2 linked regions of the Rattus norvegicus genome follow. The protein of the gene in region 2 binds, or shares a complex with, the protein of the main gene of each other region. Links are inferred from orthologs where the notes say so. Each region holds a gene or a part of one and is shown on either strand. Other genes may lie near its edges.

What was found.
Region 1: the proteins of Brme1 (region 2) and Hsf2bp are in contact, whole or in part, in a crystal structure (PDB 7Z8Z), measured with the Mus musculus proteins. The link is inferred for Rattus norvegicus from reciprocal best matches to the Homo sapiens genes BRME1 and HSF2BP. Residues at the interface, in NP_083321.2 of Mus musculus: Met541, Gln542, Asp543, Ala544, Thr545, Val548, Arg549, Leu551, Val552, Leu555, Ser556, Asn559, Ile562, Met563, Thr565, His566, Leu569, Lys573; in NP_083178.1 of Mus musculus: Glu23, Phe24, Val25, Lys26, Val27, Arg28, Asp31, Leu32, Arg34, Leu35, Glu38, Val39, Gln41, Ile42, Phe45, Leu46, Arg48, Ile49, Glu53, Leu54.

The regions. Positions count from the first base shown.
Region 1 is NC_086038.1:10,111,380-10,127,910, forward strand, and holds the start of Hsf2bp (heat shock factor 2-binding protein), read right to left. Parts: upstream 9,563-16,531; coding exon 9,515-9,562; intron 8,459-9,514; coding exon 8,308-8,458; intron 1-8,307. Other genes in the region: Rrp1b (ribosomal RNA processing 1B), read left to right, coding at 11,502-11,631. UniProt on the Homo sapiens protein: Meiotic recombination factor component of recombination bridges involved in meiotic double-strand break repair.
Region 2 is NC_086037.1:40,895,406-40,911,412, forward strand, and holds part of Brme1 (break repair meiotic recombinase recruitment factor 1), read right to left. Parts: intron 14,208-16,007; exon of another isoform or gene 14,195-14,207; coding exon 14,090-14,194; exon of another isoform or gene 9,815-14,089; coding exon of another isoform or gene 9,625-9,814; coding exon 9,450-9,624; intron 6,974-9,449; coding exon 6,895-6,973; intron 5,916-6,894; coding exon 5,811-5,915; intron 4,646-5,810; coding exon 3,500-4,645; intron 1,821-3,499; coding exon of another isoform or gene 1,758-1,820; exon of another isoform or gene 1,481-1,757; intron 1,440-1,480; coding exon 1,342-1,439; intron 914-1,341; exon of another isoform or gene 809-913; intron 149-808; coding exon 56-148; intron 1-55. UniProt on the Homo sapiens protein: Meiotic recombination factor component of recombination bridges involved in meiotic double-strand break repair.

The sequences.
Region 1 (16,531 bases), on a different chromosome or scaffold from region 2:
TCTCCCTCCGTCAGAGCTCTCCTCCCTGACTTTTCAGGTCTGTCATACCGTATGAACTCTCCCTTGTCCCACTAACCCTGACCACCCATGCAACCAAAGAGCAGTGGACCTCTAGCTTTAAAATAACACTGTTGAATACATGTAACCGTGTTGAATGACACCTACACATACCCATATTACATTATAAGCACATGTGAGCTATGAAATACAGACCATAGCCAGACAGGAACTAAACAATAGAACTACCAGCAGTGTCGATGTTTGCTCCTGGTAACCAACTCTGAAAGTCGGGTTCTGTTATTAAACTTTGCTACTCGAACATAGACAAGAAGGGGGTAACTAAATGTCTACAAATCTTGTCATGTAAAACCAGCCGCCACTTCCGTTATATAAGTTCCTCTCTGTGTAGCTTTCTGTGAGCGTGCTGCAGGTTTTCAGATCAAAGCAACAGGCTCAGCGAGGCCCGGGTCAGGACATGGAACCTCAGGAAATTCCAGGCCACAGTGCTCAGGAGACTGTCCAGCCCTACAGCGGTCCTATCAGCAGTGTCAGAGCACCCCCTAGTGGCCCAACGGGACCACTGCTTGCAACCAACCACCACCACCACCAGGACCGGAGATTATCATGGTTTGTTTCATGCTGCACCCCAAGTGCTTAGGAAAGTGTGTGGAATGTTGTAGACACTCCCTAAATATTTTCACACGAGTGTCACTTCTTTATACATTCTTCACCTTTCTGCCTGGACAGACAAATACAGCTTTAGTTAAAACAGAAGATCTCCCTTAAGAACATGGGGCTTTAAAGTCAGGAGGTGGTGGTGCACTCAAGAGGCAAAGGCAGGCTGATCTTGGAGATCAAGCCTGGCCTGGTCTACAGATCGAGTTCCAGGGCAGTCAGAACTATACAAAGAACCCCTGTCTGGGGGTCGGGGATGGGGGAAATAAACTGCCTTTGGCCAGGAGTGGTAGTGCAGAAAGCAGATCTCTCTGAGTTCCAGGCCAACCTGATCTACACAGAATCTCTAAAACAGTCATAAAAACAATACATAAGGAAACAAAAACATATTGCCTTTATAAATTTTTAAATCTACAAACAGAAATAATATAAACAATGCAATGGCTGATACACAGAATGGAAACATCTTACACGAACTCTGTCACAGGGTGTCTGTCACCCAACCTAGCTGCCTCCACTGCTTTTAGAACTCAAACCAAGAGAATCTCTAGACACCTAACTGGATAGAAGGCGGCGCACTAGACAGGCTAGGATACTGGGAAGCCATCTATGCCACAGACTATTTCAACAGCAGTACTCTGGAATGAGGATCTTTATATAGCTCTGGCTTTGTTTGGGGGGTTAGATCACAGTCTCACCGTATTTTCCAGAATCCAGCTGAGTCGGTCTTCTCAGGGCTGGGATAATAGGTGTGTACCCCCATAGTCCGATAGGTTTGATGGGTTTTGGTGGTGGTGGTTTTGATAGCCCTATGGATTGAACGGAAGGTCTCGAGAATGCTTGGCAAGCCCTCTGTCACTAAGCTGTCTCCACAGCCCTCTTTTTTCATTTTTGAAGTTACCCAGGGTGGACTTAAATTTACTCTGTAGTCCTGGCAGAGCTCAATGTCAACACCCACCCCTCTGCTACAGCTCCCAGCTATGTAGCTGGCATGGCATGTGACACCAGATGTAGTTTTGATGGTGTTGATACCATGAGAATGAGTATCTCCACATTCAGCCTACTTAGGAAGAGGGACAGGAGCTGCTGGTGAGAGGCAGGGCTTCTGGAAAGCAGCTCACACTGGGGTCTGGTTTTTCTTCCCCCGTTACCTGGCATGTCTACAACACGTCATCAGTTGTTTTCCATAAATGTGAAATAGTTTTTACCACAACAGCTGTCTGAAAACCCAGATACTTTTAAATAACCATTAGCCTTTTCCTTCCCAGCACTCTGGAAGCATCAAGAGAAAAGAGTGCAGTGCTGACAAGCTCCATCTTCACTTTGAGCTGAGATTTGGGCCGTGTATACATTCCCAGCACATGGAACGTATGCCTCACAGGCCAGGGGTTAGCAGGGCCAAACGCGGGGTGAAACCTTGACAGGCAAACCTGTTCCTTGCCTCTTTCTGCCAAACATTCCCTGGATTAAGAAACACTTTGGCAGACCCTACATGGCCTGTTCTTCACGGTCTCTCCCCTCACTGGCCTCCCCCTATCTTCACACAGACCTCACTGTGACCACGATTAAAACTTTCCTGACAAGAATGTCATACTGGACTAGAGCCCATCAGGCCTCATTTTACCCCTGTGAAAACCTTTTTCCAAAGTCCCGTTCTGAGGACCTGGGGACTGTACTTGAAGGTACCTTTTCAGGGAAATTCTTGACAGATACTCTGCAACTTGCCAGGGTTTCATCAGACTGTCAGCCCTATCGCTTCTCGGCCTTTTGGCTAAGATCAAGTGCAGACTGTCAGCCCTTCGTGAGGCACTTTTACTGACATAGTTTTCCACAGCAAACAGACACCTCCAGAATGATTCTGCATCCTACAAGTTTCCCAGAAACAAGCCGTTGCAGAAGCTCAAGGGCTCAGAACCAGCTCTGGACCACTATTCCAGAGGAGCTGTTAAGTATCTCCGGTACATAGAATAATCCAGTGACCCACAGAGGACGACCACATTCGTTTACCTGGTGAACACTGCTTAAGTCTAGTCAACTCATTTCTACAGTGTGCAGACTGTACACTGCACGACCTGCATTTCCCAACATGCTGAACTGAAATCCATTTGCCTACCGTACCAAATGCTGTTCCTTCTCTTGAATAAACTAATTCTAGGATGCATTTTAACTGTCCCCTAAGTCTACTCCTTCATAAAGCTGCCTTGGCTTCCCCCCAGCCAACCCCCTTGGGATTCTGGTGGCCTTTTATAGTTGTGTGGCATCTGTGACACACCTCCCCTTTCACTGTCTCTGTCTTTTTTTACCCCTATTGTGCCCCAAGATTATAACTATCTGGTGTACTTGTCTTTCAAGTAACCACTAGAGGGCCCCCATGGACCAAGATCCTCAAGCTCACAAGATGTTCTAGCAGAATCTAAAATTCCCGATCATCCTGTCCCCTTTCAAGTCACAAGACTCTGGGATATAAGGACAATCTGGACTTGGTATTTCACTCCAGCCTCCACAGGGTTATCAGGCCGGGTAGACAGGCTCCTTCCTCACCATTCCTTGTGCTTCCCTTCCCAAACACCCAGTTGAAGAGGACAGCCTTCCCTGACTGAGGAGGACCATTCTTCAGCCAAACAAGCTCCTTAACCTCTTAAGGCTCTGCTTCTTGAAGCTGGCTCTGCCCAGGACTCGGCTGCCAGCAGCAAATCCTTTACCGTCCTCACTATAATTACAGAAAACTGAAGGGCTCGGTCGCAGTCTCTGTCCTATTAGCTGGCTGGTCTTGGATGATAACTGAAAGCCCCACAGTGCTCTTCCTCTCCCTGTCTCAACTGAGACCTCAACACGATCAACAACCGTGCAGGACTCCTCCCTTCCTGCACTGCCCAGCACTGAAGAGCACTGACAATGTCCACGGGAGTATTTCATATTTACACACTTTCCAACTTGGTAAACTTCAAGTCAAGGCTCTCCCAAGTTCACTGTGTGATAGCATCTGAGCCACAACTGACGCTGCTGGGCTGTGGATCTGCCAGAATGCTCTCTCCAAAAACACTTCCTCCAAGATTCTACAATGCAGGTACCATACAAACCATTCAGAATGATTAAGTCATCTCAAACCTGCCACATCCTTGGAGACTTGGGGGTTGGGGGGAGTAACAGAGTCCTAGGACCTTACTCGGGGCCCAGTATGTAGCCAGGCAAGTGCTCTAATGCTCTTAGATGAGTGCTTTATAGTTCCAGAAAACACAATGAGATGCTAGCCAACATGGAGGACACAGATGTCACAGATGTCCTGCCTCTCCACACTTCTACCATGGCCGATCCTGACCTACAATCCTTCCCTTCACCATCATCTCATGAACCCACCCATCCAGTCAGAGCAAGTCCAGTGGAGCCTAGCAGTTGCCCTGAGGGATACTCTCCATCCCACCAACCCTTCTAACTCTTCTGGATCCTCAGATTCAAACCATCCCCCAATACACACCACTTGATCTGTATTTTAGGATCACTCCAGTTAGGGGTTCCAAGCTCCTCTGACCTCAGCCAATCCCCTCCCGTCCGCCGTGAACATCCCACCTTTACTGCCTTTCTTCTGCTGGCCACAAGTCCTGCGCAAGCAGGAAAGCCACCTGACAAATCCAAACGACCATCCTTACTTACTCCCTTTGTGACTGTCACGTGTCTTTCCTTCTCCTCCTTAAAATAAACAGTGCTCTGCGGGGGATAGAGAGCAGCTCTTTCGGAGGACCTGGGTTCAATTCCCAGCACCTATATAGCAGTTCACAACTGTCAGTAAGTCTAGTAACAGAGGATCCGACACGCCCTTCTAAGTTCCTCAGGCATGGCACACATACATGCATTCAGGCTACATACTCAGACATATAAAATCATAATAATACTTAAAAAAAAAAAAGAAAGTGTGCCTTTTCCTCAGTGTTGCCTCTTTAAAAGACACTTAGACAAGGCACTGCTTACCTGCCCAGCTTCTCAGAGGCAGGTCTCATGCTAGCTCAGAATCAAGTTCGGCATGCTATCTGATACCTAGCTCACCCACTCGGGCCCTTGGGAGGCAGAGGCAGGGGGATCTCTGTGAGTGAAAGGCCAGCCTGATCTACATAGAGAATCCCAGGACAGGCAGGGCTACCAAGTGAGACCCTGTCACAAAAAAAAAAAAAAAAGAGAGAGAGAGAGAGAGAGAGAGAGAGAGAGAGAGAGAATTCAAGAGCAAAAAGTAGATAAAGGCGCTGTAGAAGGCCATCTCTTCAACCTTGCCTTGCCCAGAAAAGCGGAGGTAGTCAGGGAGGGCCTAAGTTGAAAGTTTACAGTGACCTCCCAGGAAGCAAAGGACACGAGGTGTGCCTAATGCCTAAACAGGGCTCGTGTCTGGGTAGTCAGAGCTACTCTAGGCAAGGCTTACCCGTCAGTACAAAGGCTTCACCGTTTGCTAGCTGCCCTTTGTCCTACGGACAAGGAGCAGCTATTGTAACAGCTTCGCTCCAGTGGTAGAATGATAGAATCAGGCAAAGATGACCAGGCTGGGGACAGTAGACACGGCCTAGAGGAGGCAGGCACAAGGGCCCCACCAAAACAGCAGAGATGACGACAGGCTGATAAAGTCAGAAAGCATCTCCCGAGCTCACTGGCGGTACAGCTCCAAGGCAGGCCAGGGAGAAGCAGCAGAAGGGAATCAGTAGGAGTCAGGCAGAAGAAAGTAAAAATGATCTTGCTAAGTGGAAGGGTGCCCTGCCACTTGTCGGGCTACAGTAGCAGGCCCAGATAGAGCCAGCTGCCAAGTAAACAGGAAACGTTATGTCTCCCATTAATGGGAACGTGTCACGATGTCACTTCGCAGTCATCGAATTCCTTTCCAAAGCTCCCCCACTTTCAAAAGATCTTTTATTTATTTTATGTATATGAGTACACCATAGCTGTCTTCAGACACACCAGAAGAGGGCATCAGATCCCATCACAGATGGTTGTGAGCCACCATGTGGTTGCTGGGAATTGAACTCAGGACCTCTGGAAGAGCAGTCAGTGCTCTTACCCTCTGAGCCATCTCTCCAGCCCGCTCCCCCACTTTCAGAAGGAGAAACCTGACCTGGCCTGAAGAGTGACACACAAACACAGCCTGGCTTCCCGATAGCCTCAAAGGTGCGGGCAAGGTCCGTCCACACAGTGGGCAAGGTCCGTCTACACAGTGTTCTACATTTATTTGAGCATCACTGTTTATGAGCAAACAAGACCCGGGTCCGCTTCGCACTCAGCCTCTAGTTGCCTCTTTACACAAAGCTCCACCTTGCTCTGAGCCGTCGAAACAGCGCTTAAGGACTTAGGGGGCTGAAGCAGGAATGTCTACTGTTTGAGGCCAGCCTGGGCTGCACAGAGAATTCGAGGTTATCCCAGGATATAGGAAGCCATCTCCAACATAAAACACTGCTTCATTCCCACACCGCCTAAGTCCAAGCCTGTCCCCAGGGCCCGGTGAAGTGCCTCCCATTCCTCTGTACCTGTGGTCATGCACGCCTCAGAGAGACGTAAACCTGATCTAGTCAGACACACACCTGTCCCTGATAAGCTTAGCATGGGCACTTAGAGTCCAAATGATCAAGTGAGAAAAGATGCCAAGTGGGAGTCAGGGAAAGGCGGATGCTGGCTACAGAGATACGTCCAGCAGCCACTCACATCAAAAGGACTAAGGCTGTCTGTGTGCACGAGACTGCCTTGGGGAGGCTACGATGAAATAGGAAGGACTAGGCTGGGCCTCGGGCACCTGCACTGTCTAAGGGCTTCTGAGTAGCAGTTTTCAACCTGTGGGTCACAACCTCTTGAGGGCTGGGGATCAAAAGACCCTTTCACAGGGGTCACCTAAGACGATCAGAAAACAAAGGTATTTGCATTACGATCCATAACAGCAGCAAAATCATAGTTATGAAGTGGCAACGAAACTATTTTAAGTTTGGGGGTCACCACGACATGAGGAACTGTGTCAAAGGGTCGCAGCGTTAGGAAGGATGAGAACTGCTAGTCTTGAGAAAGGTGAATAGGCAAAGGTGACCAAGAGGACATCGCAGAGATAGATGGGGAAGGGACACACAGCCCGGGAAGGCCACGAACCTCAAGTGAACAGCCCCTACAGTCTGACTTTATCAAGTTACCAGATTCATGTGTGGCCTCTAGCCTGCCCTGGGAAGGAGACTGGCGTCTAATCTCTGACAAATGAGATCCTGATACGTTTTCGCAGACCACCGGTTCGTGGCTTTACAGTGAAACAATCAGCCAGCAGGCTAATGCACTCTGTTACCAGGCAGCATTTTCCTTTTCTGGAAATAAATGCACTGACGCTAATTGCTCTCAAAACTTGCCAGCTGAGCATGAGATCAGAATGAAGTGGTTAGAAAGTCAATAACCGGCGACAGGAGGAGTAAGGCCCCCCACGAAGATAGTGACATAGCCAGGGAATGGTGATGGCCCTCTCAAAGGGAGAGTGTGTTATTGAAGCCCAGTAAGAGGTAGACTGTGGAGGAGGCCACTGGGAGGGCACTTGTGGAGCAATGCCACCCAAACACCGGAGTAACAAGAGGGGCAGAGGGCAGGCCAGCACCCCTCCCACCCAGTCCCTCTCTCTTTGCTCAGAGAGGCCTTCCAATTCTAGTCTGTAGGGGGTCTACCTCCCAGAATACAGTACAAGGCAGAAGTTAATGGCTGAGAAAACTCCTGACAGAATAGGACAGGGCTCCGTGTAACCATTAACCGTTTACTCCTTTCTTTTTTTTTAATTTTTAAGTTCACACACATTGGCATTTTGCCTGTAGGCGTGTCTGTGTGAGGATAATGGATGCCCTGGAACTGGAGTCTCACAAACTTCTAACTGCTTCACCCTTCTAACTGAATAGGGCTGGCTAACTGGCAAAGTACACGTGTACAAACTAGAAACCCACATTCCGATCCCTTCTAGCTTACAACTTATGTGGCCTGATTGTCCTCCCCTTCTGAGATCACTGTGCTGCCTGTTTCACAGCTCTCAGGTGAGGCTTGAACTTGGTACATAGGGGAAAATGATCCTGAACTCCCGGTCCTTATACCTCCACCACCTAAGTACTGGATTACAGGCACGGGCACCATCGAGACTGGCTCGGAAACCTACATTCCTCAGTCAAGACACTTTCTTGGTGGGGAAGGAGGTGGGGGCAGCTGAGGACACCTTCGGGATGACAGGACGACACCACACTGGTGTGGGGGAGGGGCTGCAATCGGGACGTAAAGTGAATAAATAAATTACTGGGGAAAAATAAGACACTTCCTTATTTGGACTTACAGCTCAAGACATTACTTGGGCCTCTGGGGCGCACACTATGAGGGCTGGCGGTCCGATGTGACTTGAGAAATTAGCCTTACCCACCGAAAAGCTGATTGGATTGCAGTCCAGTCCCAATTGGGAAAGTGCTTTTGCAAGCTCCAAGTACCTCCCCCCCCCCAAAAAAATAATAATAATAACAGGGTCCCGACTGGTATTTGATACATTGTTCAAATGTCAAACATCTGGATAGACAAGTCCTAGCAATCCTGGACTTAGCTCAACACTGAAAGCTGGCGCCCCCTACCCACCTAAAGACAAGAGGGCACACATGAGGGAAAACTCACTTTTTTCTACAATCTTCAACTTCTGGAAGCTTTCCAGTAACTCCCCATTTAGTATTCTGGGTAAGAAGTCCCGGATTTGCATCACTTCCGTCGTCAGCCGCTCCAGGTCCTTCTTTCTGACTTTAACGAATTCTTCCTTAGATTCCATGTGCTAAAGGAACAAGCAGGTCTTAGCATTGTAGCATTTCTCTTCAGATGACTAGAACTAGCAACCCAAATCAACTTTCCTTTTCTTTCCAGACTCTTACATTCATAACTGCCTCACAAATGTGTTTACATCATGTTCGTGTGTGTCTGTGTGTGTGTCTGTGTGTGTGTGTGTGTGTGTGTGTGTGTGTGTGTGTGTGTGTTCCAAAGCGCGCGCGCACTGGAGCTTTGATTTGCTTTTTGAGAGGGCGGGTCTCACTGTGTAGCCCTGGCTGTTCTGGAATTCTGCAGACTAGGCAGTGGGCCTGCCTCTGCCTCCCTAGTTCTGGATTACAGGCCTCTTCCACCACCCCTGGCATCTGATGTCCCTTCTGTTACACATATATGGATATAGATGTGTATTCGTGAGTGTGTTTGTGTATACGTGGGCTTTATATACAGAGAGCCTTGCCGGCGGTGGATGAGGGTGGTAATCCACACCCATAGTCCTAGCTTCTCAAGAGACTGAGGCCGAAATATGGCTTTGCCCAAGCGTTGGGAGACCAGCCTGAGCAACACACCAAAATTCTGATTCAGTAAGAACGAATATAGCGGAAGAGGGAATGGAAACACTTAAGAGGAAAAACCAAATATACATTTCTAAAAGCCAAAGAAAATGCCCGCAAGTTAATGTGCCCCAAACTGAACTCCTCCAGGATGGGATCCCTGCGGCTGCTTTTGGCCTCTGCTGTCCCCAAACATTCATGCTACTATACAATGGCGTCCCACTGGAAGTAGGCGTCAACCAGGCCCTCTCGTGAAGGGACACCAGAGGCAGAACCCAGATAAGTGCACGGCTCTGGTTCCCCAGAGCCTCACAGCCTAAAACCTGAGCTACCACTTTTTAACTTGAAGGCCTCCACAGATGACTTGGAACCGCGCCTCGTGTCTCTGGTCTGGCCCACCCTTGCGCGGCTCCCGGCCTGGCCCCTTCAAGGCTACAGGGACATCTTCTCAGGCACAGGAGTCACCCTGAGGGAAGTAAACACCAGTAGCTCCCATATGTGGGGCACACACTGACCCGGCAGGCCTCCTCAGTACCGGAACGCTCGCCCACGATCGCAGCCATAGCCAAGGCCTCAGCTTTGTGCGCCTGCGCAGAGCTCTCTAACACGCGCAAAAAAAGTGCGGGAATCTGAAGATGCCCGACCATACGGAAAGCCGCGAGGTTCAAATCTCGCCAAATTTGCGCTTCACTCTCGGCCCCTGGACCCAGGGATGAGAAGGAACCAGACTCTACTGCGGCTCTTCTCCTTCAGTGTTTCAGACTTGTGACCTGCAAAATGAGGCCTGAGTGTCAAACAGAATCCGTCCTTCCCTGTTTACGGAGAGGATGCTAGAACCAAACCTACAAACTGAAAAACCGCACAGGGAGAACCTCGTCGTCCCTTGGCCAAGTGCTTCTGTGTTAAGGGATGCATTTTCGCATGCACAGAAGAGTTATTTTAGCTAGGTAACTGAGGTTTGAAACTAGATGTAGTGGTACATGCCTATGTCCCAGCACTTGGGTGGTGGACGCTGGAGTTCAAGACCAACTTGCTACACAGCAAGGGAAATCTAGCCTGGGCTACATGGGTGGGGGAGCGGGGTTCAAAATGAAATAACTAAAGCTTGGAAGAATATACTAATCTAATAATTCTCAAATGTTTGATGACCTAGAGTTTTGGATGTCCCTAAAGTAAGCATAACTGTTAAAAGACTTCTTTCATATTGGTTTAGTGTGTTCCCTGCTCGTTCTGGTTTTGTCAACTTGACACAAGTTAAAGCCATGAGAGGAGGGAATCTCAATAAAAAAAAAAAAAAGTCTCTATAAAATCAGATTGTAGGCAGACCTGTAAGGCATTTTCTTAGTTAATGATTGATGGGGAAGGACCCCACCTGTTGTAGGTAGAGTCAGCCCTGGGCTGGTGGTCCTGGGTTCTATAAGAAAGCAGGCTGACCAAAGAGCAAGGCCGTAAGCAACATCCCTCCATGGCTTCTGCATCAGCTCCCGCCTCCAGGTTCCTGTCTTCTTTGAGGTCCTGTTTGAGATCTGGTCCTGGCTTCCTTTCATGGTGAACAGTAATACGGAAATGGGAGTCCTCCCCAGCTTGCTTTTTGATCCTGGTGTTTCACTGTAGCAATACTCACTACCTACTGCTCAGAACTGTGTGTTTTGAATGCAAGAGGTCTTAAAGACAGAGCCAAGCTCCCTCCCTGTTAGACCCTCAAAATTTTTCCCTCTCCAATGGACATCCCTGCGTCTGACCCAGTCGTTGTGGGTATGGGTTTGCTGACTCCCCATTCAACAAGTTTGCACCCGTCCCAAGATGCGACAGGGAGGCTTGCTCGCTGCAGGAACGGATTGTTCACTACACCGCACCTCTGTAAGTGCCCTTGTTGCTTCAGGGACGGGTTTCTCTCTCTTCTCCAAATCCCGAACCTGTCCTAGAACGCTGCAAGGGTCTCCTCGCCCCCTCTGCACTCGTCCCAGCACATTGGAAGAGGGCCCATTCCCTCTATAATGCTGCGTGCCTGCATCAAGACTCAAGGCACTGTCCTGAGGGGAACGGGGCGCTGAAGGGTGGGAGAGTGGAAGTTGTCCCTGTGCTGTTGTAAGCCTCGGGATGCCAGGATAATGGCCTTCCTTCTGGGTCTCAAGTCTGCTCAGGGAAGCCCGCGGAGTTCACAGACACCGGGTGAATGGAGGTGGCAGGACCGCCGCTTCCCTGACAGACCTTTGTTAGCTGTGGTTAGACTCTAGAACTGCATCAGGTTAGCCGTAGTCGTCCTGCCGGAGGAGATCTGACCCTAACTACCCGCCCAGAACTTGGACCACCCACAGGATATACTTCAGTAGCGGGGCTACGTATCTACTCGCACAGGGGCCACGCGGACTCCCTGGGCGCGCGGCAAGCGGCGCACCGGTGACGCCATCACCCACGCGCCGCGGCGCCTGCGCAGGCGCAATCCAGATCGCTCGGCGGCTAGCCGCACGCGCGCAGCCCGGGGATGCTGAAGCGGGTGCGATGGCTCCCGCCATGCAGTCTACCGAGCTCCAGTTCGCACAGCGGCTGGCCTCCAGTGAGAAGGGCGTCCGCGACCGCGCCGTGAGGAAACTGCGGCAGTATCTCAGCGCAAGGACGCAGAGCGACACAGGTGCGGGCCTGGGTCCGCGCCGCTGCGCGCGGCGAGGGTCGCGCCAGTGGGCACGGGTGCGGCTGCTACGGGCTGTGCGGCAGAGCTCCTGACCGCTAGTCCCAGCTCACCGCTGGCCCAGTTCGCCGAGGCTCGTTTGTGTTTCTTGTTTGTGTTCCATGGATAGTACCTGTAGGCGCTGGGGTGCGTTAGAGAGTTAGCCCTGAGAAGAACTCTGGCAGTGTGGTGGTAGAACTGATGGCAGTGTAGTGGAGCACGTGTGAATGCGGGAATGTATATCAGTAGCGTGGAAAAGTGCAGGAGAAAGTCCTTCTAAAGGAAGCCACCTGTGCTCTGTTGAGATTTTGACAGGAGGAAGCCAGGCAGGCAGACGCAAGAACGCTAAGTGTGCCCTGAGCCAGAGAAATCTATCTGTAAGTTGGCGCGCAGGGCGTGTTGAGATAAAATTGAACCTGGGGGCAATGTGGTCACTTCGCTGGCTTTGGGGAAAGGGAGGGGAGGTTGGATTTTAACTGCCGTGGAATGCATTGCAAAGATTTATTTTAAGTGACCCAGAATAGATTCTGTTAACTCCTGAATGAATTCGCAAAGTCTAGACTGCAGCATACTGTGAAGGTTTCAGGTTGCAGCCAGTTGGCTAAAGTTTGAGTTACGGGTTGCTAAATCTGATTAAAATTGAAGTCTGGGGGGCCTGAGAGATTGCTCAGCCGTTCAAGTCCCAGTACCCACATGGCAGCTCAGAACCCTTTTCCTGGAAAGGAGTCACCCCCTCTGACCTCTACCAACACCAGGCATGCACGTGGTGCATAAACATAGAAGCAGGCAAACCTCCCACTAAACTACCTACTTACTCATACCTAAACTAAATCTTTTTTTTTAAATGGTTTTTGATTGAAATCAGTCCCAGGTGGCAGTACATACCATTAATTCCAGCATCGTGAGGCTAAGGGCAGCCAGGGTCACAGAGCAAGCAAGACCTTATTGCCAAGAAAGGAGACTTTTTGAGACGTCTGATAAAAACTAAAAGTTTTTTTTTTTTTTCTGGGGCTGGGGACCGAGCCCAGGACCTTGCGCTTCCTAGGTAAGCGCTCTACCACTGAGCCAAATCCCCAACCCCAAGTTTTTAAGTTCCAAAAGTTATGTTTCCACTGTGGAATCCAGAGGTCAGATTTAGGTAGTGAGGTTTACCGAGCTGAGCCGCCTTGGCAGCTGCATTTCCCATCCCCACCCCCACCCCAGCCCTGTTAAGGATTGCCCCAGAAATTCAGTTTCCTCTCATATTGTCAATTTTCCTATATACGTGTGCTGGTGGTCCCTAAACCTAACTTACTGGCCCAGGTGGACCTTGGCTATCCTCCGCTCAGATTAGTGTCACTAGCCTGGTACTCCACCTGGCTGTCCCATGAGTGCCTCAGTACCAACAATGGCATCTGCTCCTCCCTCCAAACACCTGTTCTCTCCTGCTGCTCCTCCTCCTCAGCTGCTCATTCTTCCCACATTTTCTCACCACCATCTTACATACACACACACACACACACACACACACACACACACACACACACTATCCTTCTGTCCTTCTCAGTTAACTTGAATTACTCTGCCTTAACCAGAAGTTCCTTTATTTTACCTAGATTTCTGGTCCATCCGTTCCCTTAACTCTGTTGTGCCTTTTGTTTACTTGGGTCCCCCCCACCCCCCGCCGCCGCCGCCCCGACCCGACCCCAGACAGGGTCTCTCTGTATCCCTGGCTTTCCTGGAACTCACTCTCTAGACCAGGCTGGCCTCGAACTCAGATTGCCTGCCAAGTGCTGGGCTTAAAGTTGTGAGCCCCCATTGCCTGGTTTGTTTGGTTTTGGTTTTTTGAGACAGGATTTCTCAGTGTTATAGCTCTGGTTGTTCTGGAGACCAAGCTGGCCTCAAACTCTCAGAGGTCCACCTCCCTCTGTCTCCTGAGTGCTGGGGTTAAAGGCATTTGCCCCAGGCTTCCATTGTGCCTCTTTAGTCTGCCCTCCACAAACAGCCCAGGTCATTTTCTTAAAGCAAATCTCATCTTCCCACTGCTTCCCTTGAAGGCCACAGTCTGACAGACCTGGTGTCCTCACCTGCTCTTCTAATTCCTCAGTAGTCCGTTAAACCCCTGTGGCTGAGCACACCACTCACACTCTTCTTGCCTCCTCCCCCCTTGCATTCAGGCTTGTTCTACAAAGAATTTTGCCCTAGCAGTATCACTTCTGAGAGAAATCCTCCTTTATGATCTCTCCCACCACCCTGTCACCCCTAAAATTATAAAATCTGTGCCCCTCTGATAGTGCTTAGATACAGAGGGAAGGAAAAGCTATTTGTTCTGAGAAAGGATTTCCCAGAGCCAGGAGTGGTCTCTACTAGCTATACTGAGAACGGATGACCTTGTCCTCAGCTATGTGCAGATAGCTTTGTTTGTATGAACTCTGTGGTTTGTATCCTTTCCCCCACAGGCACTGTAAGCTTCCCTTTGTCCTCTAAGCCATAGGTGAAAATATGGAGCCTTAGGAGAGCCTTCAGGAGACAAAAGCAAAGTACAGTACACCTGGACTGGAGACAGCCTGAGAGCATGCTTCTCAGAACCCTTTGAGAACAGCCCCCCCACCCCCGTCCCAAAAAAAAAGAGAACAGGCCCAATACCCCAGGGTACTTCCTGATGACTTATCTTTTTCCCCTATTCATCATCGTGGCCAGTTTGTGGGATATCGTAGGCCTTCAGAAAAATAAAATAACTGTGGACTGTAGAGGGACTGGAGAGATGGCTCAGCAGGTTAGAACATTCGCTCCTGCAGAGAATTGGCATTCCATTCCTGGCACCCGTGTGGTGGCTCATAACCATCCATTACTCTAGTGTCAGAGCCTCTGACACGGTCTTCTAACCTCAACAGTCTACAGTCACCACAGACACACATGGTGTACATGTGAAATAAGTATGCGTGAAATAAATGAAAAATAACTGCGGGGCTAGGAAAATGGCTCCCTCGGTAACATGCTTGTCATGTACCCGTGAGGACCTGAGTTCAGGCGTTTACTCATGAAAGCCAGTGTAAATCCTGGGGTAGCCAGATTGATACGATAATCTGTCTCAGAAAATTAGCTGGAGAGCTAGGGAAGAAAATACCTAGCACCGACTTCCAACCTATACATGTGTGCCATGCAAATAAGTAAAAACTGCAGGGTAAATGTCTTAATGATCATGGCCCAACGGGGCTGCAGAGAAGGAGCACTGGCTGCTCTTCCAGACCTGGGTTCAATTCCCAGCAACCACACACAGCTGCCAGTTTCAAGAGACCCAACACCCTCACACATACATACGTGCAGTCAAACACCAATGCACATAGAACGGAAAAGAGAAGAAAACATTTAAAAATAATAACCATGGGACAGGAAAACCAAAGTGTCTGGCACTGCAAGGCCCCATCATAATAGAATCACAAGCTTGCATCTCCTTGACAAACTCAGTTTGTTTTGTAACCTTACTTGTTGGGAAATCTGACATTTTCGTCTCACTGAAGACTTACTGTTGACTTACTGCCTTACTGTCTGTCAGCAGCATAAATAGATAGGTCTGTGGTCTTTGCTGTCAAGAAACAGTCTCGGCATTTTAGTTCATGGTGGCTCATGAGTCCTGGTATAGCCTTTCATAAATGCAGCAAACAAAAAGCACCATGTCCTCTTGTGTACACTGTTGTTGGTGTAGAGAGTACAGCAGTGAGCCAAGCAGGCAGTCCCTGCCTGTCTTAGCATTTCTCAGCCTTAAACATTTAACACCTACCATAAAGCTATGGTGTATCCTAGCATCAACCCTGTGGCAATTCCGTTTGTGTCATTGTTTTTATTAGTAATAGTTTGCGTGTGTGCTCACACACACATGATGTGGGAGGAGATAGAACACACCACATGTTTGGAAATGTCAGTCAGTTCTCTCCTTTGGTTTTCACGGGGGTTCAAAAGCTGGAGATCTGGCCACCAGGTTTGTGTGGCCAGCACCTTCTCTGCCAAGCCCCAGCCTCCTTTTGGTGGCGTAGAAGGTGACTGAATTTGTGGTTGGTGGTGGCTTAGTCATTGTAGCTGTTGTGGAAGTAAGTGCCTTTGCTGCTGGCGGCATTAGGGTTCTCCATCAGAGAGTTATAAAGGGGGGAGGTGTGCATGTCTGGAGTATGCACAGCCCCATCCAGAATGGCTCCTGTGTTCATTCCGTGGAGAGGGTTGCTATTGGATGTTGTCATTTCAAAACAATGGTATGTCCTGTGTCTTCACACCTTTAATATCCTTGACATTGTTTTTAGGCTAGCTAAATCTGAGCTGTTGTCTGTCAGAAAGTAGGTCATAGAACATGTAAATTCGTCCCCACCCAGGCACTCACTTTCAACCCCAGCACTCAGGAAGTAGAAGCTGGTGTATATTGCTGAGTTTAAGGGCAGCCTGGTCTACATAGTGAGTTCCAGGCTAGACAAAGATACATGGTGAAACCTTCCCCCCCCCCCAAAAAAAAAAGTTTTTTCCTGGACAAGTATGGTAGTCACACTAGTGACTTGAGCTTGGGAGGCTGGGGCAAGATTGTAAGTTCCAGGTCAGCCTGGGCTACACAGAAAGACCATCCCAAAATAAAGGGCAGAGGAGGAGAGACTTAGCAATAGAGCGTTTGCCTGGAGTACCCAGGACCCTGTGTTCATTCCCAGTGCCTCACAAAGTTGTTGCCAAGAAGAAAAGAGCTTTGAAAGCAGTTAGCAAATAAAGCTACTGCAGATACTTTCCTCAGTGAGTAAAAGGGATCAGGTACTCAGTGTTTCTCCAGACTTCTTTAAGTTCTTTAAAAATCTGTTCCTGTTTTTACCAACTAAACTCTTAGGTAAAAATGGGGTTTTTATATGTATTT
Region 2 (16,007 bases):
GCCACCTCAGTTCCTACTCGATGTTGTAACCTCTGGTAACTTGAGTTGCCCTTACTTGAGACTGGAGAGCTCTACCACAAGGCCTCGCACCGTGTCTGTTGCGTCCTGCATCCTGTAGGGCTCCTGGGCCCAGGTTCCCACATGGGGTCTGTCAGGAAATGGGAAGGAAAGGGGTGGCCTAAGAGCTCAGGATGATCCAGCGTTCCTTGTGTTGAACACTCCCCACCCCATCCCGCCCTGAATATCCTAGCTCCAACCCCTGCCACCATGGACTGCCACACCAGGGCTGGTGCCATAACCCTCCTTGACCCTCCCAAATAATGGGCACCACCTGTCCTCACCTGGCCCCTGGCCCTTCCCATTGTCTCTGCTCATACTGAATTCCTGACCATTCTTCAGTGCCTCTGAGGACTCTGGATTATTCTTTCCCAGTTTGTCTTGATAGTCAAATTTAACTCTGTGGACTGTCCCGTTCTCAACACTTGGTCATTTGACACTAATTTGCTCCCTAGGATCACTCAAGACAGTAAAGGAGGCATGCCACTGCATTTCCTCAAGGATGTGCAGCCTGGCTGTGCAGACTGGATAGGACCGTCAGCTCTGGTTCACAGCTGGCTTTATACTCGGGAGCCCCAGTTCTGCTACACAGGCCCCAGACACCTGATGGCGCTGCCCATCTGGCCCTCAGGTTTCCTCAAGTGACACTCAGCCTCAGGCCACCAACTGACTCCAGGGCCCAATTTGGGGGCTCCTGTTTACCAACAGGAAGCTGAAATGTTCCTGAATAACAGTGGGTAACAGAGCTAACCTGCTTCTGGTACACTGAAGGAAGAAACTGAGCCACAGGGAGGGGCTGTGCTGACAACGGGCAGTAACAACGGGCAGAAGGGATGAACATTACAGAGGGCAGAGGCTGGAGCAGGGAAAGGGAAAAAAGAGGTCACACTGGCACCCCAGCCTCCTCCATGATTGCCTGACACAAACAGAAACTTGGCAGTAAATTGTAAGTCTGCAGAAACACTGTCAGGTTCGGGGGGGGGGGGGGAGGGCTCCAAGGGCCAGAGTTGATGGCAGCCTCAAGACTGTTTCTGACCACAGTTCCTCCTGCTTGGACACCAGTTCATGTGACTCAGGAACACCCAGGCTCCTCCTCTTAGGATACCCATGTCCAAAGAGGCTAGAACAGTTCAAGGTGCTAGAGGGACTCAGCTCCCACGGACAGGCCCTTCCTTCTTTGGGTGTGAACCAAGGGCACCTGAGTTCCCTTGAGGGACATATGGTGCATGGTAGTTTGAAAGACAGGGCAAGCTCCCATTCCGGATTGAAGACTGGAAAGCCTACCTGGGCTGAGGTTTGGCCACCGCCTTTGGGGATCCTCCGATGGCATATGAGCTAGGGACAGGCCAGCCAGGGTCTGACATATTCCCTGAAGGAAAGCCCTGGAAGGAGTAGGTTCAGTATATGAATCACCCAGCCTGGCAGAGGGAAACATCCACAGCACCCAAGACTTCTCCTTAGCTGAACTTCTCCAAAAGCAGCATGATGCCAGCAAAGGGCTCCAAGCACAGCTGCTCTGCTGTCCTCTTCCTTGTCCTTGCAACAGGCCGATGTGCATTGTGGGATACACTAATGTGTTTTATCCTGATCACTATGGAAGTGTCTCAAAGTATTTTAAAGCTCCTGGAGCAAAGCTAGGTGCAATGGTGTATGCCTCTAATTCCAGCACTTGTGAGGCAGAGGTAGGCAGATCTGTGAGTTCAAGGACAGTCTGATTTACACACGAGTTCTAGGACAGCCAAGACTATATAATGTACTGAGACCTTGAAAAAACAAAACAAAACAAAACAAAACAAAACAAGAAATAAGACCAGGCAAGGCAGTGCTCATCTGTAATTCTAGCAACTTGAGGGTCTGGAACAAGACTGATGCTTGTGAATTTGGGGCCAGCCTCCTGTTTCAGGATACCCTGTGTGAGTCTCATCACTAAGTCTGAGATCCTGCCTCCTTTAAGACCCTAGAGCCAGGACACACAGAACACTGGTGCCTGGGAGACTAGGAGAACACTGGGGGTTTGAGATCAGTGTGGCCTGCAAAGTGAGACCCAGGTGACAGCAGCTGAAAGGAGGTGATGTTGCCTGCCTAAGGCCTAAGTGTCCAATACGGGAAAAAGTCTGGCGTGGGAATTCCTGAAGAGACTGGCTAGACTGGTGGTATAGAACTGGGAGGATCATTTGAGCCCAGCCAGGGTAACCTTGCAAGACCCATGTAAAGTAAAATAAAATCTGGTGTTCAACATTTGCCTATCACACTACATTGCTTAGCTGTGGGGAGGAGAATCTCCCCTCAAAGGGACCACATCTCTACCAGGCCCATGGGGTACTGCCTTTGACAGAAGGGGCTATGGCACTGGAAGCCCTGGAAACCTCAGCCAAAACTCTAGGCGGGACCAAAGAATCTCTTTCCTCAAGTACTAGGGATAGAGCCCAGGGCCCCACTCATGCCACTCAGCCATGCCAGCTGCACGAGCTTCAAACCAACACACTGAAGTGTGGGGAAAAGTTCCTGGTAGGAGAGCACTGTACAAGTCAGACTGTCACTGCAGGGCGACTGAACGGCATGTCTTTCTGAGACTGCGGTGTGGCTGGGTGTGAGGTCAGCAGGGACCCCTGTTCTGATCGTAGGTGTCCCTATGTTGGGAGATGCAGCCTCTGCCATCTAGCTGGACGGTCTTCCTGAATTGCCTTCCCCTGAGAACACGCTCAGTGGCTAGGTCACCTGACTTGTTCAGGGATACCTGATGTCAAAGCTAACAGCTCCCAGGCTGGTGCTGCCTGTTGAGTATGACACAGGCTGTGCTAGGTTCCTGTGATCCTGATAGGTTTATTTACAAAGATGGGATAGAACACAGGCCTCTCACAGTGCTAAGACAAATCACACTGTGCTATACCTCAGGTCCACTGTCCTGGGAAGTATAGTCCAGCAGTTCCCCAACAAGGATGGAAAAGTGTGTTTTTCCTTCGTCCTTTTGGTGCCAGGACGGAACCCAGGGTCTTAAAGCACGGTTGCCTATTTCTTGGATTGAACACTAGGTAAAATTCTTTGCTTGCATTGAGGGGTTCTGTCTAATGAAAAGCTTCCCTCAAGGGGAATAACCTTTGAAATGTAAGTAAAGAAATATATCTAATAAAAATTTAAAAAAAGAAAAGCTCCCCTCAAAGAGTCAAAATGGACTAATAGGTATCTCAACGGCAGGTTGTGGCGCAGTGTGAAATTTTGGCTCTTTGGGAGAATGCTCTCGTAGCCACCCAGCTCCCTATCCCAAGGCAGAGCAGCTTTAGACTCCGGGAGGCATAGGTGCACCAGGCTCTACCTTGCCCAAAGCTGCTGTGATCCCCCCACCCCCCTCCTTAGACACCTATGTTGTGTAAACAGTGTCAGACACATTAGCCCCATCTTGCTACCTAATGGTGCCAGGGTGCGCTGAGTACAGAGCTCTTACCTGCTCCATGTTGGTGGCATCCAGGGCATCCTGTATCTGGCTGTCAGGCAGGAAGTCTAGTTCCATTGCAGAGGACTCCTGCCATGCAGCCTGGTCTCTGAGACTGGGAGCTGGCTGCTGCTTCCCTGCTGGGTGTACAGGAATGTCTGGGCTGCTGTGACAGGCCTTGGAGCTCTGGGGAGGGTCACTAGCTAGACAAGTGTGCTCTAGCTGAGAGGGGGTATGAGGGTACAGACTGAGGCCCTCCAAGTCTTGATCATAAGTTAGGCCACTTAACTCCACCACCTTTTCATCCATGGGCTGTGCTGGTAAAGGCAGCATTCCTATATCCCCTGGCAGCTGTCCATCAGAGCCAGGGTCCTTGGTCTTGACGGCAGGACCCATTTCCTGGGCTATATGGCTGGAATCTCCAGCTTCCACCATGGGCTCTTGTTTCACAGGTACTGCAGTCTCAGTGATGTTTGCCAGGGTCTCATCACCAGGGGACTTCTCTTTCCATCTGGTCTCCTTGCTGCCTGCTGGGGTCTCCTCAGCAAGAGTCCCACTGCAGCCTCCATCAGGGATCTGCCCATCTGGAGAGCCCAGCAGGCTGCCCACCTCTAGTGCACTGTGTTGCAGCACAGAGAGATCTAAGCTCACTTCTGTAATGACGCTGTCCATAAGAGAGGCACCCGCTGGGCTACCGAAGCTGGGTGCTGCAGCTGTGCTGTGAAGAATGTGTGTGGGGACAGAGAGGTCTTGAGCCACAGACCAGGTCTCTAGGCATGGTATGGTAGGATCTGAGGCAGGAACTAATGCTGAAGTGTAGAGGATGTCTTCTCCTTCCTGGGGTTCCCCAGAATGCTGGGCCTCTGCTTCCCCTCCTTGGGTACCTCCTTCCTGTGGGGTGCTGCTATCTGCCTCCCTGCCTTCAGCAGCAGCAGCCGACAGGGTTCTTCCCTGGCTACTACTGTCTTGAACTGTGGCCATCTCAAAACCATTGTTCTCCAAGCTTCCAGTATCTAGTGAGCTGGTCCTCTCCTTTGAGAGGGTACCATCTGGCTGTGTCTGGTCTTCTGGTCTTCTGGCATCATGGAGAGGGAACCTCAGGGACTCTCTCTGTGGTTGGCTGGCTGCTTCTAGGGCACCTAGCTCTGGCGTTGTTTCCTGTGGAAATAGAAGATTCAGCCCTGGACGTAGATAAGCAAGCACTCTGAAGAACATTTCCAGTTGAGGACCCTGTCCTCAAGATCAGATAGTTGTACCCACCACTGGGTACCACAGGGCTGTGGAAGCTGCTTTAGGCAGAGCTTTGTGCTAAGGCAGGAGGACAGGAGGTACACACACCCCTCCTTTTATGGGAACCTCCCTGCCAGCACCAAGCACTCAGAATCTCAGAGTATAACATTCCAGGTGGTAGGCTGTGGGGTGACTCCATAATAGGACATTTGCCTAGCTGCACAAGGTCCTGAGTTCTATACCCACGCCAGAGTCAGTGAAGGGTTAAAGGCTCTGCTACCCAATGGTACACCTCATCAGCTTACTGTGTTATCTTTGTTGTGTAAGTATGTATGTGCGCATGCTGGTACACACACATATGTGCCATGGTGTACATATGGAAGTCAGAGGACAACTTGTGGGAGTCTCTCCTCCTAGGAGAGTCCTCAGATTGTCAGATCTGGTGACATGTGCCTTTACCAGCTAATCCATCTTGCCAGCTGCTTGTCCACTTACAGACGTACCAGAGCCAGTGAGATGGCTCGATGGTATAGGTGGCACTTTGTCAAGCCTAATGGCCTGAGTTTGATCCTTGGAATCCAGCTGATGAAGAGAACAGACTACACAGAGTTGCTTTCTTCCACATGCACAACACACACACACACGTTTTATTTTATGTGTATGATACAGAGATTTTCCCTGCACCGCTGTATGTGCACCACTTTCATATCTGGTGCCCTGGAGGTCAAAGAGGGCATCATGTCCTCTGGAACCAGAGTTACAGATCATTGTGAGCTATCATGCAGGTGCTGGGAATTGAATCTAGATTCTCTGGAAAAGCAGCCAGTGCTTTTAACTGGTGAACCATCTTTCCAGCCCTCATATTTTTTTACACGGCTCCTGACTTGCACAGAAGCCCCAAGAAGCAGAGGAGGCTCTGGGAGCAGGCCTTCCTTTCTGAACTGACTATTTCCATGCAAACTGCATGTCACGGTGCCCTCAGTGACCTTAGATGTGATGGTTGACAAGTAGTACCCCCCAGACAGATAGCTGGAGAACTCCAGGAAGACCAAGGTCGATCAGCAGGAGCAGCCAACCTAGGGAAGGCTCTTACCTGGCTTGTGGTGCAGCTCTCTGGATCCTCTTCCCATGCCTTGGTTTTTCTAGTTACTGTCTTCCTTGGTTTGGCAAACTGAGGGACAAACCTCCCCACTGAGCTCTGTAAAAGGGACATAAGAACAAAGCAATGATATGAAAGGACAGGGTCTCAGAAAGACCAGCCTAGGGATGGCACTTCCCTGCCTGCTAGGAAGCATTTCCCTCTCGGGTACAGACCAAACTGGCCCTTACTTTGGCTTTTTCTTCAGACTAGGTCTATCTATGTAGCTCTGGCTGTCTTGGAGCTCACTATGTAGACCAGGCTGCCTCTACCTCCTGAATGCTGGGACTAAAGGTATGTGTCACCATGCTCAGCTCTTGCTTACTTTAAGGTTTCCCACCACCCCTGGATTTCTGGTTTTGAAATGAGATTTCATATAGCTTAGGCTGGCCTTGATCTTGATGTATAGCTGAAGTTGACTTTGAATTCCTTCTACTTCTGGTCCTCCTATACTCACCTCTGAAGTACTAGAATTACAGGTAAGGTAACATCATACCTGTTTTATGCAGCCTTGGGGTTAGACCCAGGTCTTCATTGCATGTTAGGGCGAGCATTCCACCAACTGAGCTACATCCCAACTGTACATCCCTTACCTACATCTCCAACCTTACCCTGTTTCATTCATTCATTCACTATTGATTGATTGATTGGTTGATTGATTGGGTTTTTTTGAGACAAAGTTTTCTCTGTGTAGCCCTACAGAACTAGCAGTTCTGTAGACCAGGTTGTCCTCGAACTCACAGAGATCCTCTTGCCTCTCTTCTTGCTGAGTGCAGAGATTAAAGATATATACCCCCACCGCCTAGCTCCTTACCCTGTTTCTTGAGACAAGGTCTTACTCTGTAGCCCAGACTAGTCTAGAATTCACTGTTTAGTCAAGGCTGGCCTTGAACTCAGAGGTTCACCTGCCTCTGTTTCTCAAATTCTTGTAGGCTCACAGACAACTGTTATCTTTACTCCTGCATGTCTCTGCGGCCCTGTGGGCAATAAGGTGCTGCTGGCCATGAACAGGATATAGAACTTAAAACAGGAGGCTCACCTGGGAAGGAGGCAGGGGGACCAGCTCTTTTGGTGATCCTGGGAGGTCAGAGGCAGCTCCTGTGTCCTCCACTGGGCAGCTGAGTGGAAAGAAGCAGAGAAGGACTGAAGTCCTTCCAGATATCATTTACATAGCAAGACAGAGGGTGGTCAGGGGTGCAGCTCCAGGAGGGGAGGAACATAGTATGTGAGGCTCTGAGCTCTATCCCCAACACGCACGCATACACACACACACAGACACACATGTGCACACACACACAGACACACACATAGGGGCGCACACACACATGTGCACACACACACAGACACACACACACACAGACACACACACACACACACACACGTGTACCACAGCACACCCATGCATACCTTCTCTCTCTCACACTCAAAGGATAAAGAGGGATAAGAACCTAGATGAAAAGTGACTCTGAATCTTCAAGGGAGGCCCTGAGAGTCCTTTCACATCAATTCCTTGTTCTCTCCCATGGGGCTGAGGATAGAACCCAGGGCCTGGCACCTGCTTGGCAAGTGCTTTACCACTAGGCTCCAGATTACCTGCTTTGAAAGGGTGAGATTTACAAAGACACAAGATCAATATACAAAGCACAATATTAACAATTAAAAAAAAATCTGAGAAGACAGCTCAGCGGGTAAAAGCCCTTGTCAGACATGTGTAAGGCCTGAATAAACACTGGGGGAGAGGTGCAGCCACCTGTAATCCCAGCACCCCTATGAGGAGATGTAAGGAGGAAAAGGCAGGAGAACCCCTGAAAGCTTGTGAGCAGCTGGTCTGTGCATAACCTGCCTCAAGCAAGCAAAGTAGGACCAACAGACACCCTAGGTTATGTCTCTGACCTCCTTTCACATCCATACACACTAAAAAAGAAGGGAAGGAAAGGAGGGAGGGAGGAAAAAGAAAGAAAATCTTAACCAGGCATGGTGGTGTGCACTTCTAACCCCAATACGAAGAAAGCAGAGGCAGGTAGATCTCTGTGAGTTCAAAGCCTACCTAGTCTACACAGCAAGTTCCAGGCCAGCCAGGGTTATGTTGTAAGACCGTGTCTCAGAAGGAATGAAGGTGCGGGGTAGTCCAGGAGAACTGTCATGCTCAACAGTTCCCATTCAGAACTCTATCCCGCCCTGCAGTTGCACACTGCAGTCATTTGGGTGGCTCTGGACACTGACAAGCTTCCCCCCACATTGTAAGTTATGTTTTATATTGACTTTCTTTTCTGTGACTGTTGCTGTATATAGGTATTTCTTAGGGAAATATGTATTTTAAAAAATAGCTCGGGGTTGGGGATTTAGCTCAGCAGTAGAGCGCTTCCCTAGGAAGCGCAAGGCCCTGGGTTCGGTCCCCAGCTCCGGAAAAAAAAAAAAAACTCAAAATAGGTAGAATCTGGGCTGGAAGAGATGGCTCAGTGGTTAAGAGCACCGACTGCTCTTCCAGAGGTCCTAAGTTCAAATCCCAGCAACCACATGGTGTCTCGCAACCATCTGTAATGGGATCCGATGCCCTCTTCTGGTGTGTCTGAAGACAGCTACATGCACTCATACATAATAAATAAATAAATCTTTAAAAATAAAAAAGGATAGGTAGAATCCTTCTCCCAACTCCTCTGGTCTTTGTAGACTGGGAGGCCACACAGCAGTGCCATCCCTACTGGCCTAGAAGTGAGTAGAGGATTGCATTTCTGTGCTTTTCTGGGAGGAAGGCTTAGGTGACATGTGGCTTACACAAGTCTGAGGAACCAATATTTGTGGCTTCATGGGTGCCACTGTTAGCAAGATTGTTGTGATGTGAAATCAGACAGACACACATGCAGAGCAGCTGTGGGGAGTGAGCACATGCCTCGGTACCTATAATTCAGTAAATGTGATCACCTAGGCCACAATATCTTCCCCAAAGATGTCAGCTACCAGTCATTTTGTTTCTCCTAGTTCACTTTCCTTCCTTCCTTCCTTTTGGTGATAAGGTCTCACTATGTAACACAGCTGGCCTCAGACTAACAGATATCTATCTGCCTCAGCTTCCCAGGGGATTAAAGGCATATGTCATTATGACTGGCCTGATTTTCTTATACATGTGTGTACATATGTGTGCACACATGCATGTAGAATCCAAAGGACAACCTAAGGTGTCATCCTCAAAACATCTTGAGACAGTTTCTCACTGGCCTGGAGCTCATCAATTAGGCTGGACTGCTGGCACTGAGCCTCAGGGACCCAGCTGTCCTAGCCCCAGCCTTGGAATTACAGGAGCACACCACACCACCACTGAGACTTTTCCCATGGGCAACTTAGGTCTTTGCACAAGTTCCTTACCACCTGAACTATCTTCCCAACTTCTTCCAGTAGTGTGGTTGAGACTGAGATGGAATTGATGTTATCTGTGACCTTTCTCCAGTGAAAAGAACCATGAGATAAAGACCTGAGCCAAGGCCCCAGAAAGGGTTGCAGTGGTGGCTGGTCATCTCGGACCACTTGTCGTTCCCTTGGGCTTGCTGTGAATGACTGAAGAGGGACGAGCCTGCTGGAGAGTTCTGAGCTACCTACCTGGAAGCTGCCGGTTGTGGTTCCTCCCCAGCTGGCTCTACAGAAGGAGCAGGTTCTGAGCTGTCTTCTGACTCTCTGGAGTGGTGTGAATGGACCGTCATGGACCTCTGGGGGCTTCCACGGGGGTCTCTCAGCCGTGGGTTCTTAGAAGGCTTTGAGGGATGGAGGCTGCCCCCTGGTTTAGAGAGGGAAGTAAGGGGCAGGGACTCAAGCAGGCTTAGCATAGCTGTCAGCATAGCAGAACAGGACCACAGCTGGACTAGGTGAGTGGGTCTATGATGAGGGCAAGAAGGCCAGTTCTGATGCTTACCGTGGTGGGAAGATGGGAGAGAGCCCCACTCAAGATGCAGGGCCCATTTCCTCATATGGCCATACAATTAGATTTTTTTTTTCTTTTCTGTTAAGATGGGCTCTTACCCTGTAGCCCAGAGTGGCTATGAACTTTCCATCCTGCTGCCTCAGCCTCCAAAATACAAGGACAGGTGACCTGCATTTTGGAAGCTAATTGAAGGACTTTGTATGAACATAGTATAATTTTTTAGGGGGTCACTCAGCTTATTGTTTGAGACAGAGATTCTCACTGGGCCCTGAAATTTTATCAAGAAGGCTAGGCTGGCTAAATGCCAGCAACCCAGGAAATGTTCTGTCTCTGCCTCCCCAGTGTTGGGATTCCAAGTGTGCCAGCTCCTGTGTGCTTCAGCAACAGAGCCAGTGCCCTGGCTTGATCCATAGTTTGGCTATGACTGAGATAGAATAGGTTGTATTTTTTTTATTTTACTTTATGTGAATGGGTATTTCATCTACATGCATATCTGTGTTCAAGTGTGGAACCTGAAGGGGCCAGAAGAGAACATCTTCTGGAATTACAGACACTTGTGAACCATATGTGGGAAATGGAGATTGAACCCAGGTCCTCTGGAAGAACAGAGAATCCTCCAGTCCTGAGATTGAATCTTGAAGCAGTTTAACTCCAAGCCACATGGGACAAGTGGGACCAAGCCATCTTTCCCCTGGGAGACGTATGGCAGCTGGAGCCATAGACGAGGTCCCCATGAGCCTCTACTTCTTATCATGGCTTTCCTTTTCACATGACAGTGGTTCTGCTAGTTTCTGAGGCATTAGTCATCTCCCTTCTCCCTACAACTGAGCTGCATGTGAAGAGAGTTTGTTCTTTTGTGTCTTCCTCTGTTTTGATAGAGGAATGTACAGAACCGCTCTGATGTTCAGTGATCCAAAGTGATAACGAAACACACAGAAGCCCACCGGTGTGGTGGTGCACGCCTTCAGTTCCAGCACCTGGGAAACTGAAGTAGAGAGATTTCAAGTATGAGACTAGCCTGGATTACATGAGATCCTGTTTTAAAAAACTAAGCTTTTAGAACATATCCTCATCAGGCATAGACAATGAAACCTGGAGTCCACAAGCTGCCCTAGACAACTGCAGAGTATATCTTAGAAAAAGTAGGACCAAAGGTATAGGAGGCCTCTTGGTCTCTTATGTCTTGTCAGCTCTTCCCTGTCACTCAGTGAAACAGGAGTTGTCCTTACTGTCCTTGGCAGCCTAAAACTACTTATGAAATATTTTCTTCCTTCCCTTTAAGGAGTGATCCCCTTGCCTCACCCTTTCAAAGTAGCTATGATTACAGGCATATGCCACCACACCCAGTATTATGTGTGTCATGTGTAGACATAAATACAATTCTCCCTGCCAGTACTGGAGAATGAATGTATAGGACATCACACAACTAGGTGTGTTTGTGTACACACACACACACACACACACACACACACACACACACTCGCCTTTTGCCCCCAGCTCAGTATTGAAGGTTGAATGCAGGGCCTCACATAGGTTAGGTAAGCAAGAGTCTACCAAGGAGCTACTTCTGTTTACATTCTTGAGGTAGGGTCTTACAGTTGCCTAGGCTGACTTTGCACTCTCTCTATAGCCCAGGCAAGATTTAGCTCACAGTCTCTTTCTTTATAGAGTGTAGGCCTGTGCCACCAGCCCTGGCTTGAATATCCATTTTCTGAAGGAAGGATACTCACTTGCACAGATGCCATCAATCATGGCTGGGCTCTCAGACCCAGCCCCATTCTAAGCCTGTGTTCAGTGAACACAGCAAATGCACATTCCAATAAGTTACACACACACTCCTAAGATCTGGTGTGTTATGAAGAGACTTAGAGGCGAAGTGCTTCCATTATGCCATCCTTCCTCATGTCCTCAGAAAAGGTCAGGTTCTGTAGCCCAGGCTGGCCCTGATCTGGTAACTCTTTTTACTTCAGTTTGCCAAGTACAGGGATGATGAGGACACCATCACATACAACCTGTGGTGACATTTTCCAGGCAAGAAAGCTGTGGCTAAGCAACCAAGAACAAGATCTGGTTCAATTCCAGAGCCTACACATTCAAGAGTCCTTTACACATTCATAGAGTACCTACTGTATCTTGGGCTTCTTCCAGACAAGTAGAACAAAATAGAAAAACAATACACAATACAAATGTAAGAGCCAGGGATGGTGGCATCCATCTGTGACCCAGCTCTGGAGGGCTGGAGAAAGGCAAATCCCTGGAGCACGACGGCCCAACTGGTGACCTCTGGGGCAGTGAGAGAGACCCTGACTCAGAAAATAAAGTGGAGAGTGACTGAGGAAGACACCTGACATTGCTCTGGCCTCTGTATACATAGTCACCCATAAATGACATGTACTATACCTACATGCACGTATGCATAGGCACACCCATAATGCACATGCACTATACCTACATGCATGTATGCATAGGCACACCCATAATGCACATGCACCATACCTACATGCATGTATGCATAGGCACACCCATAATGCACATGCACCATACCTACATGCATGTATGCATAGGCACACCCATAATGCACATGCACCATACCTACATGCATGTATGCATAGGCACACCCATAATGCACATGCACTATACCTACCTACATGCATGTATGCATAGGCACACCCATAATGCACATGCACTATACCTACCTACATGCATGTATGCATAGGCACACCCATAATGCATATGCACTATACCTACCTACATGCATGTATGCATAGGCACACCCATAATGCACATGCACTATACCTGCATGCACAGACATGAACACAGAACCACACAACAGTGCTAGGATGGAACTAAAGACCCTGACATGTTAAAGTGTTCTGTTGCTAAGCTATGTCCCAGTCCTCCAGTTCTTTCTTTTCTGCTCCTCTGGTGCTGTGCACTTGTTGAGCTGTCTCATAACATACGTTGACCTCACTAAGATCCTGCAGGTGTCCAGTGCTCCTGGGTCTCCATCTTCTGCTCACACTGATGCCAGGCCCCCCTCCCATAGGTGCCTGCTCTAAACAGCACTGTGGCCCAGGACGTTCTTGAGGATGTCTATGCTTCTGCCTCTCACTCTGCCACAAAAGACAAAATAATAGCCTTGCTCGGTCGGTTGCCTGAGATTGATTCAATGGACATTTGTACCAAAGCATCGACAGCCGTCGACAGTACTTTCTATGACCTGTCCCTCACAGGACTGATTCAAATCAAGTAAGGCAGAACCTCATGTTCCACACCAAAAACTGGAGATGCAGGAAGCAAAGGGCCACCTTCTTCCTACTTGTCCGACCCATCGGGGGAGGGGGGGACACACAGAAAAAGGTCCCTAGGGATGCAGTCCAAGGCCAAGAGAGGTGACCTGCCATGGTCCTCATGCCATGATCCCAGCTGTCCTCAGTTTTTTCCTTGAAAGTCAGAGAAATCTCTGTGCCTCCAAGTGACCTGGGCCCTCTGCATAAAACAAGTATGAGCTGTTAATCACTTTTGTCTCACCGAGGGAAAAATGAGTACAATTCTTAATTCCTCCCTCATGGCCAGGGGTGGTGACATACCAGAGGTAAGCGAGGCCTGCAGAGTCTGTATATAGAGGACCAGTGAGCTACACAGTAAGATCTTGTCTCAGAAAGAAAGAAAGAAAGAAAGAAAGAAAGAAAGAAAGAAAGAAAGAAAGAAAGAAAGGAAGGAAGAATGAATGAATGAATGTATGTTTAGCCACCCCCCAAGGAAAGACAGTGCTTTCTTTTTTTTTTTTTTTTTCGGAGCTGGGGACCGAACCCAGGGCCTTGCGCTTCCTAGGTAAGCGCTCTACCACTGAGCTAAATCCCCAGCCCCAAGACAGTGCTTTTAAGTTTCAGATACCTTACCTTAGTAACAGGGAAGCTGCAGTACTTCATGGAAGACTGGATGTTTCAAAGCCACTGCGATCAACAGGCCTATAATTCTAGTACAAGCGCTCATATAGACTACACTACATAAATAGTAGTAGTAGTAGTAGTAATAGTAATAATAATAATAACAACAATAATAATAATAATAAACAGACAAACCAACCAACCTACAAAAAACATAGGATGAGGAGATAGAACGCTTCTGCTCTTTTCCAAGAGGTGCCTGGGTTGGGTTTTCAGCACCCATGTCAGCTGCCTGTAATTCCAACTCCAGGGAATTCCTCCTCCTCCTCTGGTGTGTGCATGCTTTAAGTGTTTGTTTTTTACCTGGGAAGTTTTATTTTCTTTCTTTGGGGGATGGTAGAACCTGGCAGCTAATCTGGCCAGAAACTCACTATGTAGCTCAGGATGGTCTTGAACTTCTGATCCTTCTGCCTCCAGGTCCCCAGCGCTGAGGTTACAGCTGTCCGTTACCCCTTCTGGTTTATGTGGTACTGGAGCTAGAACATAGAGCTTCATGTATGTTACACAAGCATTCTACTAACTGAGCTGTGTTTATTATTCAAATGAAGAAAAAGGTTTCTTTTTTTATTTGCTACCAGGGCCTTTCTTACACATACCAGACAAATGTCCCACCACTCAGCTACACTCGTGGGTTCTCAAGGGAAGAAATTTTACATTGTTTGTTAATAAGCAGAGCCCATTGTGGGGACTTAAAAACTTAAAAACAATTAAAGCATGTGGTGGTGGTACAATCCTTTAATCCCAGCACTCGAGAGGCAGAGGCAGGTAGATCTCTGAGTTCTAAGCCAGCCTGGTCTACAGAGCAAGTTCCAGGACAGCCATGGCTACACAGTGAAATTTTGATTCAAAAACCAAAAACCAACCATCCAACAATGACCATAGCAACAACAAAACAACCCAGAATTGGTAAGTCAGCATGTGTGGTATAAGGTGCTTGTATTCAGTAAAAACACAGAGGTTGGGGTTGGGGATTTAGCTCAGTAGTAGAGCGCTTGCCTAGCAAGCGCAAAGCCCTGGGTTCGGTGCCCAGCTCCGAAAAAAAAGAAAAAAACAAAAAACAAAAACAACAACAACAAGAACAAAAAAAACCACAGGGGTTGGGGAGATGACTGTCAGCAAATGTAAGGACTTGAGTTTAGATACCCAGTACCCACATAAAAGCCAAGCTAATCACGTCTCTGTCTATAACTCCAGTTTTCAGAGGTGGATAGAGATGAAAACAGCTGTACTGAACTGAGAAACTACAGGTTCAGTGAGAGACCCTGTCTCAAAAGTAAAGTGGAGAGCTATTGAGAAAGACACTTGATGCTGCCATCTGGCCTCAATATGAATATCCGCTAAGACATTCACATATACGCACACGCACACGCACATGGGAAGGAGGTTTGGGTGGGAGAACCCCTGCTCCCCCCAGGATTTGAGTGTGCAGACTTTTCTGAAGCTGTGGGTTCCTCATTTTCAGGTTTGACCAACCAGAGATGGAGAAAAACTACACCTATATTAACCATGTAGAGACATTTCCTGGCCACCTCCCCAAGTAATACAGTAATTTACATATCATTTATATCCTGCTCAGTACTCTTAGTCATTCAGGGATTGAGTTACTCGTAGATGCTGCGCAAACACTCCAGTGTTCTATTCTATGTAAGGCACTTGGGCATCGTGTAGTCTGTTACGGGTAGGAGTCCTGAGTGAGACCAGCTATACACAGCAGAGGATTAAAGTAGCACTATAATGAGGTTGGTTTCCTGTTCTTAATAGTTTGACCACTGTTCTTATATTCTGTTAGATACTAACACTAGGGGAAGCTAGAGAAGAAAAGATAGGGTTCCTTAAACTATTTCTGAGACTTATCAGTAACCCCCAAATTATTTCAAAATGAAGTTTGGCTTTTTCAACTGTGTGATCCACGCTGGCCTCAAATTGCTTCAGACTCCCAAGCACTGCCAGCACAAGTGACATAATGGTTTTTTAAGTCTAAAAGGACAAGGAGCTTGAGCCTTCTGCAGCTGAGCCATACCCCCAGCACCCTGTTCATTCCAGCACTGCAAACAAGTGAGCTTGCTGGACTGTCCAGGGAGGCGAGCGATGCATAGCTATTCCCGTGGGGACACTGTGGCTGGGGTACTGTGCTCTCAGGGCTGTCCTGGGAAAGGTAAATTTGGAGCAGTGGCCATGGCTGCCACTTACTAGATGCCAGCAGCATCTTCCCTCATATCCTTCCCCCAGTGTGAAAATAAAAAATGTCTACAAACATTACCAACTATCCCCAAAGGATCTAGCTAGATT